2 linked regions of the Xenopus tropicalis genome follow. The protein of the gene in region 2 purifies or fractionates together with the protein of the main gene of each other region. This does not show direct contact. Links are inferred from orthologs where the notes say so. Each region holds a gene or a part of one and is shown on either strand. Other genes may lie near its edges.

Evidence for each region.
Region 1: the proteins of cdk7 (region 2) and ercc2 purify together in Homo sapiens (affinity purification with mass spectrometry; 10 studies listed by BioGRID and IntAct, counting the BioPlex papers as one, with this or other methods). This does not show direct contact. The link is inferred for Xenopus tropicalis from reciprocal best matches to the Homo sapiens genes CDK7 and ERCC2.

The regions. Positions count from the first base shown.
Region 1 is NC_030684.2:70,779,158-70,782,980, reverse strand, and holds part of ercc2 (TFIIH basal transcription factor complex helicase XPD subunit), read right to left. Parts: intron 3,630-3,823; coding exon 3,513-3,629; intron 3,406-3,512; coding exon 3,282-3,405; intron 3,210-3,281; coding exon 3,113-3,209; intron 2,886-3,112; coding exon 2,752-2,885; intron 2,510-2,751; coding exon 2,341-2,509; intron 1,121-2,340; coding exon 1,002-1,120; intron 892-1,001; coding exon 822-891; intron 446-821; coding exon 376-445; intron 277-375; coding exon 175-276; intron 83-174; coding exon 19-82; intron 1-18. UniProt on the Homo sapiens protein: ATP-dependent 5'-3' DNA helicase. Component of the general transcription and DNA repair factor IIH (TFIIH) core complex, not absolutely essential for minimal transcription in vitro.
Region 2 is NC_030677.2:186,233,476-186,237,800, reverse strand, and holds the start of cdk7 (cyclin-dependent kinase 7), read left to right. Parts: upstream 1-1,500; 5' UTR 1,501-1,547; coding exon 1,548-1,631; intron 1,632-3,820; coding exon 3,821-3,880; intron 3,881-4,325. UniProt on the Homo sapiens protein: Serine/threonine kinase involved in cell cycle control and in RNA polymerase II-mediated RNA transcription. Cyclin-dependent kinases (CDKs) are activated by the binding to a cyclin and mediate the progression through the cell cycle.

The sequences.
Region 1 (3,823 bases), on a different chromosome or scaffold from region 2:
TTTCAATATGTTATTTACCTAGATCTTCCCTTGTTTCAAACTTTGAACTCATTGCCACTTGATCATTCCCACGGCCCACGACCTGCAGCATACAGTAAACAACTGCAAGTAAGCCTTCACTATTTACCTCTTATGTATAAAAGATATCATATGCAATATATAACCTTTTCTTACCATAGGACAAAGACAAACACGGGCCAAGGTCATTGTGAATGTTGCCATAGTAACAGGGCGAAAATCCAAAATTTTGGGGTAGATATCCAAAGGAGAGAGGGTCTGGTTGTGTAAAAGTCACATTTTTAAAAAAGAATAGATTACACAGGATTAGAAGAAAAATTTGAAAAATAAAAAAGTAAAAAAAAAAAAAATTCTTACCCCAGACGTGATGATGACAGACTGAAATCTCTGGAATACAGGTTTAATTGCAAGGGAAGAATCTAGACAGCTAAATTAATGATAAAAACAAGAACGGCTAGAGTATACAGTCTTTGTAAGAGAGAAAGCTGAAAAAAAATGAAGGAAAATTGGCTTTGAAAAGGTGGACAGTGGGCACCAAGAGAAACATTGACCAGACTACAGGAGCACTAGAAGTAGGGAAAAAAGAAAGATTGTGTTGGAAAGATCAAAGAAAAAAAAATACTGCGCACCGAATCTGTATTTTGAAAAAAGTTGTATGAATGTGTGTGTGGAAAGAGGAATTAGAGGCAGAAAATCATTCCTACGAGCCAAAAAAAAAGATATTAAGCCAAAAATTGGCAAAAAGTAAGAAATTGGAAAGAATAGCACTGATGGGCATTTCAAGGAGAAAAATATTTAGTAACCTGAAGTGCAGCACAGGATTACTTATAGATGGTGTTCTGTCCTCGAATGGTTCAATAATTATCATAAAACCTGTAAGAAAACAGAGACATGGTTCACAAGGGAAATAAAATGGTTTGTAGGAAGAGAGGTGATGGGAAGGGCAAGCAAGAATACACAGAATCCAACTGTGAGGAAAATACCTTTAGTATATGTGCTGACAAGGGTAGCAAAGTTGGTTATGAGGGTAAGAGGAGAGAGGTCTGTAATGTCAGCTATCTCAAGAGTGCGTGTGAGGGAACGCAACCGTTCTGCACAGAACCTAAAAGGCAAAAGATTTAATATCTGTAAGGGAAAAATTCCCATTTTTTTTTTAATTTTAGTAGATTAGTTTATTATAAATTAACCTATTTCAAGCAACATTTAAACTTGTCTTAGTTAATTTTATGGTTTTTGAATTATTCATTCATCATTCATTCATTCAATGAGTAATTTTAATATTATGTCTGTTTTCATTATTATTTCTATTTCTAACTGTCAGGGATCATGGACGCCAGCAACAAAAACAAAAAACCCATAGTTTAGTTTTATTGTAATTCTTATCTTATTGCATATCATTATTTTCAGGCTCTTTAATAATCATCTCTATCAAATACATAAAAATCAAACATTTTGCAAACCTCTGACTGGTTGTTAGAGTACTGAAAAAAATGGAACAGTCAGATTACAGTTGACAGAGTTTAAAAAAAATACTACAGTACTCGGGTTAAGGTGAACTATCCCTTTTAAGTATTTCTCAATTTGTACAGGAGGTCACTATAAAGAAATGTTACTAGAAGAACAATTTTTGTACTTACCATTAAATCCCTTTCTCTTCACTTACTATGGGGGGCATAGGTACCTTGAGGATAAAAATCCTTCCACACCATCTAAGTGTTTGCCCCAATGTTGCTCTGGGAGTGTTAACCAGTGCAGACCCCTGGAGAGTGGAAACTAGAGATCCCAGTCATTTGGGAGATTATTTTTAGGCCTTAGTGGCATGACCTATAACCATAGTCCTGACTATTTTATTCCTGAGCCACCATGTGTCCTTTCTCCTTTTGAGCACATTAAGAGAAACTAAGGATTAAGGGAGGTAGCAGGGGCAAAGCTCTTAAGAAGTCAATTTTAACCTTTCCGTGTGTACTCTCCTGTATCTTTAGCCCCATAGTGCCTGTGTCCCCCAATCTAAGCAACAAAGGTCATTAGTAAGCCAAAGAAAATAAACAGCCATGTGACTCAGAACATCAGATAATTACAAAGCCCTCTGGAGCTTGAACTTCAGCTGGAGATAACCAGCTGCAAAATGCAGTTTCAATTATTTTCTCAACTAATACAACAGTAACAGAAAGCCCAGCAAATTTCTGTTGTGAAATCTTTCTTAGGCTATGTATAACAAAATATTATATGTGAAAGTTTTGCATCAATTTAAATAAGATATTTCTGAACACATTAGTAATACTTACTAGGCATTATCTTTGTAATCAACAACTCAACCCTTACCGCATTGGCTTCCTTTCGATGCAGACTTTCTCATAAAGGTCACGAAGAAAGGCAGCAGGGCCCTCTTGTGTTACATGGCCTGCACGTAGACGTGATTTGATGTAGCCCACTAATCGTCGTAAAAAACCCAGGAAGTGGAGAGCATTACGGATGCAGCCTGGCACAGCCTCTGCATACAACACGAAAGTCAGTCCTTAGTCATTTCAGTAGCGAAGGAAAAACAGTTTTGGCTGTTCAATAAAGTATTTATACAAAATGTATAACTAATCAACAAACAGCTTAATGTCCAGTGAACAAGGCTGTTGAAAAGGTTTGAACTAAGTTGGGGAGTAACAGGTGCAGCCTCCTGAAGAGCATGATAGGCTTAATGTTTACAGAAAAAAACTAAATTAACAGCACAACTTCTCTTACCTTGCAGAATTTCATCAGGTAAGACAGGGTTGGACAGGTACACATCAGTCTCCCTTGCAACACTGGCCTCCCGCAATCCCTCCACCAGTTGAGCGTACTCCTCCTTCAGCTTCTTTTCATCTGTTTCTTTTATTCTATGAAAACAACAAAAATAAAGCTAAAGAATAACAGTTCTCCCTTACCTTTTCTCTCAATATTCACCTATTACCGGCTCTCCTTCGCATCCACTTTTTTTCATTAATTTTCTGAATGTACCCTTCACATTTATCTCCCATTATTTAACCAGTTTTACTTCTATTAAAACAGTTTTTTTATTATGCAAGAATTTATTTTCTTCTGTCCTCCACAAAACATCCCTTACTTTTCTATTGCCGTGTTGAGAGTTTCAATGTTTGTCTGACAGCGCTCCAGGGTTCTGCGTGTGATGGTGACACTCATAGAGTCAATGCAGACATTATCTAAAGAGTAAGAGGGCAGATTAATTTTGCAGGCGTGTGAAATAGACAGGTAAGTTCAGTTTTATCACTTACCAATATTATGAGCTTCATCAAAGACAACAACAGATTTCTTGGAAAGTTCACGAGAGACAAGGTCAGCTATTTTGGGATCCAGTAAGTAGTGATAGCTGTACACAACCACATTGCACTGTCCGAGCTGCAAAAATACACAACATAATTTAAAACACAAACATTTATTCAGATATACTAGTCAATTATATCTTCTACAAGTTAGGACTGCATGAGAAATATTCAGACACTCACAGCATGTCGGGCAAGGTAATAAGGACACCAGCCTTTTTGTCTACCCAAAGTCCTAAGGTCATCCAGATTGTAGATACCAGGAGGAAGGGGGGTCTCACGTCCAATTGCATCAAATTCCTTAAAAAAAAAAAAAAAAACAGGGTTAGTAGCAGAGTAATCACTTGATTTTCCAAAATAAGCCTTTCTGCCCCATCTTTATTTTGCTAAACATGATGTATGCTCACCTGGGGAAGGCAGATAGCTATGAAAGAGTTATGTTTTTTTTTACTTTTCAAGTGCTTTTTACAATCTATGCTCTGCTTTGGTCTAAA
Region 2 (4,325 bases):
ATTTTTATATTCCTGGGAAATCCTAATTTAGATGTACCCTGTATCTATACTATGCGGTATTTAAATTAAGGTGTGGAATCTCATTGTATATAAGGTGTATTTTAAATGTTTGGGAGAGTAGAAAGACCCACATCATTTTAATATAACTGCTCTATGTAGAACGTAACTGTCTTTGTATCTATACACCTGTTACCTGAGAAAATAAAGTGATCTGTGATTTTAATGCATATAGAGTACTTGTAAATTTGTGAGAAGCGCCAACTCTAAGTTAATTATAATGTGGAACACAACAGGAGCAAATTATTTCATTAGATTTATTTTATCATATAATTACAAATAACTATATATTTTACTAAGTCATATATATATATCATTATCCTTTATTCATAATGTATACATATCCGGCATCACTAACAGAGAATTCTCTGTTCTCCAGTTTCCTTCCTGCACTTCAAAACATAGAGAAGATTAAGTGGCTATTGAAAAAATGAGTCGCTGCCCCAGTGGAGCTTACACTCTAAAGGTCCATATCACACACACACTACAGTCAATTATTGTGTGGTGCTCTATGCACGCCGCAAAGCCCCCTAGATGCGGAATAAAAAAAATTGTCAGCTCTGGAGATAATGATCCAGTCCTGTTTTTTTGGACCAAATTCAGTTTCACACTAAGGGACGTATTTATTATGTGTAAAACTAACTCGCTGAGTAAAAACCTGTGTAAAATAAATGGAAAAGATCGCCGTCTGAACGCCAGATATTACGCCGTTATTTTCCATAAGTTCTGGTGAAAAAAAAAAAACGCGTAAAAAATGACGCCGTTTTTTCCCGCCTGTTTTACACAGCGAAGTGTGGTGAATTTTCTCGCTGTTTTTTACACAGCATAATAAATATGCCCCTAGATGATCATTTGAATTAAGGTCTCAAAAGGCCTGGAGTGGAATCATTATCTCCCTCATGTCATGTCTTATAAAGCTTTTGTTTCTGGCCTTAGCATATTATATATCCCAAAATGTGGCTGAGGCTTTTCTATTCAGGGGCTGTAACTTGGCTGCACAATGGGCACCTCACAGAATGAGCTCCTGGCAAAGCATTTCATGTCTCCATTATTTATTGCGGGAGAGTTTTAGCACTCAGTATTATCCGAGAAGTGCCCTTATGGCGTGCTCACAGCATTCACCTTTCCAACTTGATTTTAGCGCCGGGACCAAAGGAGAAAGGGCTAAGAACATACAGTGTTGCTTGGCTACAGCGCCTAAGGGCGGGGGGCTGCGTCCCAGCCAGGGGCGGCTCATTAGTACAGAATAAACCGTTACCCTCGAGAGAAGGAATTCTTCTGAGGAACAACCGGTATTTGCCACTGACACCATACAATTCCCGCCTCTCCCCTGTAGCAGGGATCTCCATAGCAACCGGTAGTTGTAGGAAACCAGATGCCTCTTACGTCACATTCGCGCTCCCGTCGCGCCGGTAGCAGCATGCAGTGGGCGTGGCCAAAGTGTTAAATGGCGATGTGACAGTGACCTGTGGGAAAGGGTTGCGCGGAGAATGGAGGGGATAATGGCGAGAGGGGTGGATGTGCGCTCCCGTTCCAAGCAGTATGAGAAGCTGGAGTTCCTGGGGGAAGGCCAGGTGGGTGCTGCTGCGTGGGGTTCCGGGTCCCTGTGGGACACGTGGGGCTTTACTACTGCGCAGAGATGCTTAGTGGCACTGTATGTAATGTCGTGTAATTGGATACTGCTTTACGGCTTTTATCCTGGCATTACATAGTGCTGTACCTGTAGTATCCTGGCATTACATAGTGCTGTACCTGTAGTATCCTGGCATTACATAGTGCTGTACCTGTAGTATCCTGGCATTACATAGTGCTGTACCTGTAGTATCCTGGCATTACATAGTGCTGTAGCTGTAGTATCCTGGCATTACATAGTGCTGTACCTGTAGTGTCCTGGCATTACATAGTGCTGTACCTGTAGTATCCTGGCATTACATAGTGCTGTACCTGTAGTATCCTGGCATTACATAGTGCTGTACCTGTAGTATCCTGGCATTACATAGTGCTGTACCTGTAGTATCCTGGCATTACATAGTGCTGTAGCTGTAGTATCCTGGCATTACATAGTGCTGTACCTGTAGTATCCTGGCATTACATAGTGCTGTACCTGTAGTATCCTGGCATTACATAGTGCTGTACCTGTAGTATCCTGGGGTTACATAGTGCTGTACCTGTAGTATCCTGGCATTACATAGTGCTGTAGCTGTAGTATCCTGGCATTACATAGTGCTGTACCTGTAGTATCCTGGCATGACATAGTGCTGTACCTGTAGTATCCTGGCATTACATAGTGCTGTACCTGTAGTATCCTGGCATTACATAGTGCTGTACCTGTAGTATCCTGGCATTACATAGTGCTGTAGCTGTAGTATCCTGGCATTACATAGTGCTGTACCTGTAGTATCCTGGCATTACATAGTGCTGTACCTGTAGTATCCTGGCATTACATAGTGCTGTAGCTGTAGTATCCTGGCATTACATAGTGCTGTAGCTGTAGTATCCTGGCATTACATAGTGCTGTACCTGTAGTATCCTGGCATTACATAGTGCTGTAGCTGTAGTATCCTGGCATTACATAGTGCTGTACCTGTAGTATCCTGGCATTACATAGTGCTGTAGCTGTAGTATCCTGGCATTACATAGTGCTGTACCTGTAGTATCCTGGGGTTACATAGTGCTGTACCTGTAGTATCCTGGCATTACATAGTGCTGTACCTGTAGTATCCTGGCATTACATAGTGCTGTACCTGTAGTATCCTGGCATTACATAGTGCTGTACCTGTAGTATCCTGGCATTACATAGTGCTGTACCTGTAGTATCCTGGCATTACATAGTGCTGTACCTGTAGTACCCTGGCATTACATAGTGCTGTACCTGTAGTATCCTGGCATTACATAGTGCTGTAGCTGTAGTATCCTGGCATTACATAGTGCTGTAGGTGTAGTATCCTGGCATTACATAGTGCTGTAGCTGTAGTATCCTGGCATTACATAGTGCTGTACCTGTAGTGTCCTGGCATTACATAGTGCTGTACCTGTAGTATCCTGGCATTACATAGTGCTGTACCTGTAGTATCCTGGCATTACATAGTGCTGTACCTGTAGTATCCTGGCATTACATAGTGCTGTAGCTGTAGTATCCTGGCATTACATAGTGCTGTACCTGTAGTATCCTGGGGTTACATAGTGCTGTACCTGTAGTATCCTTGCATTACATAGTGCTGTACCTGTAGTATCCTGGCATTACATAGTGCTGTACCTGTAGTATCCTGGCATTACATAGTGCTGTACCTGTAGTGTCCTGGCATTACATAGTGCTGTACCTGTAGTGTCCTGGCATTACATAGTGCTGTACCTGTAGTGTCCTGACATTACATAGTGCTGTACCTGTAGTATCCTGGCATTACATAGTGCTGTACCTGTAGTATCCTGGCATTACATAGTGCTGTACCTGTAGTGTCCTGGCATTACATAGTGCTTTTAGTCTGGCATTACATAGTGCTGTACCTGTAGTATCCTGACATTACATAGTGCTTTTAGTCTGGCATTACATAGTGCTGTACTTGTACTTTTTTGGCACAATTGTTATGTTTGGGTTTTATCTTCCCTTAAACTCTGGCAGGTTTCATAAATGGCAGTGACAGTAAAAGCTGCTCAGGCAGTCCCGTCAGTGTTGGCTCTGCTGTGACAGAGTAGAGAGGTGTATATAGGAACTGACAGGAAACTGTTTCCCACTCATATTGTTCTGAAATGTTCTGTTTCTCAGTTTGCCACAGTTTATAAAGCAAGAGACAAGAATACAGATAGAATTGTGGCCATTAAAAAGGTATGTTTCTTACTGCTTTCTTATTCACAGCTAAATGCTTTATTAATGTCATGTACCCTGCATGTTCTGCACATTATATGTTACATGTTCAATGTCGCAAACAAATTGTGCTTTTGCCATGCCCACACTGTAAATAAGGGTAAAAGGGTAAAAGACTATAATATTGGAGACTGATAGCATCTTGTAACGTGTATAAATGCAGCAGCCATCTTGTATAATAGGAGGGTTGTACAGGGCAGCATAGAAACACCCACATTAAATCTCAGGTGGCCCTACCCAACAGTAATTATACACATCCAGAATAATGTCAACAATAGCGAACAACACCGAAGGAGGAAATGGTACAAGAGAGAGGGTATATACTATTACAACACTAACACAACAGCAATAGGCTGCAGTATTGTGTTCATTAGTATATTATCAGATGATAATACATACCCATCCC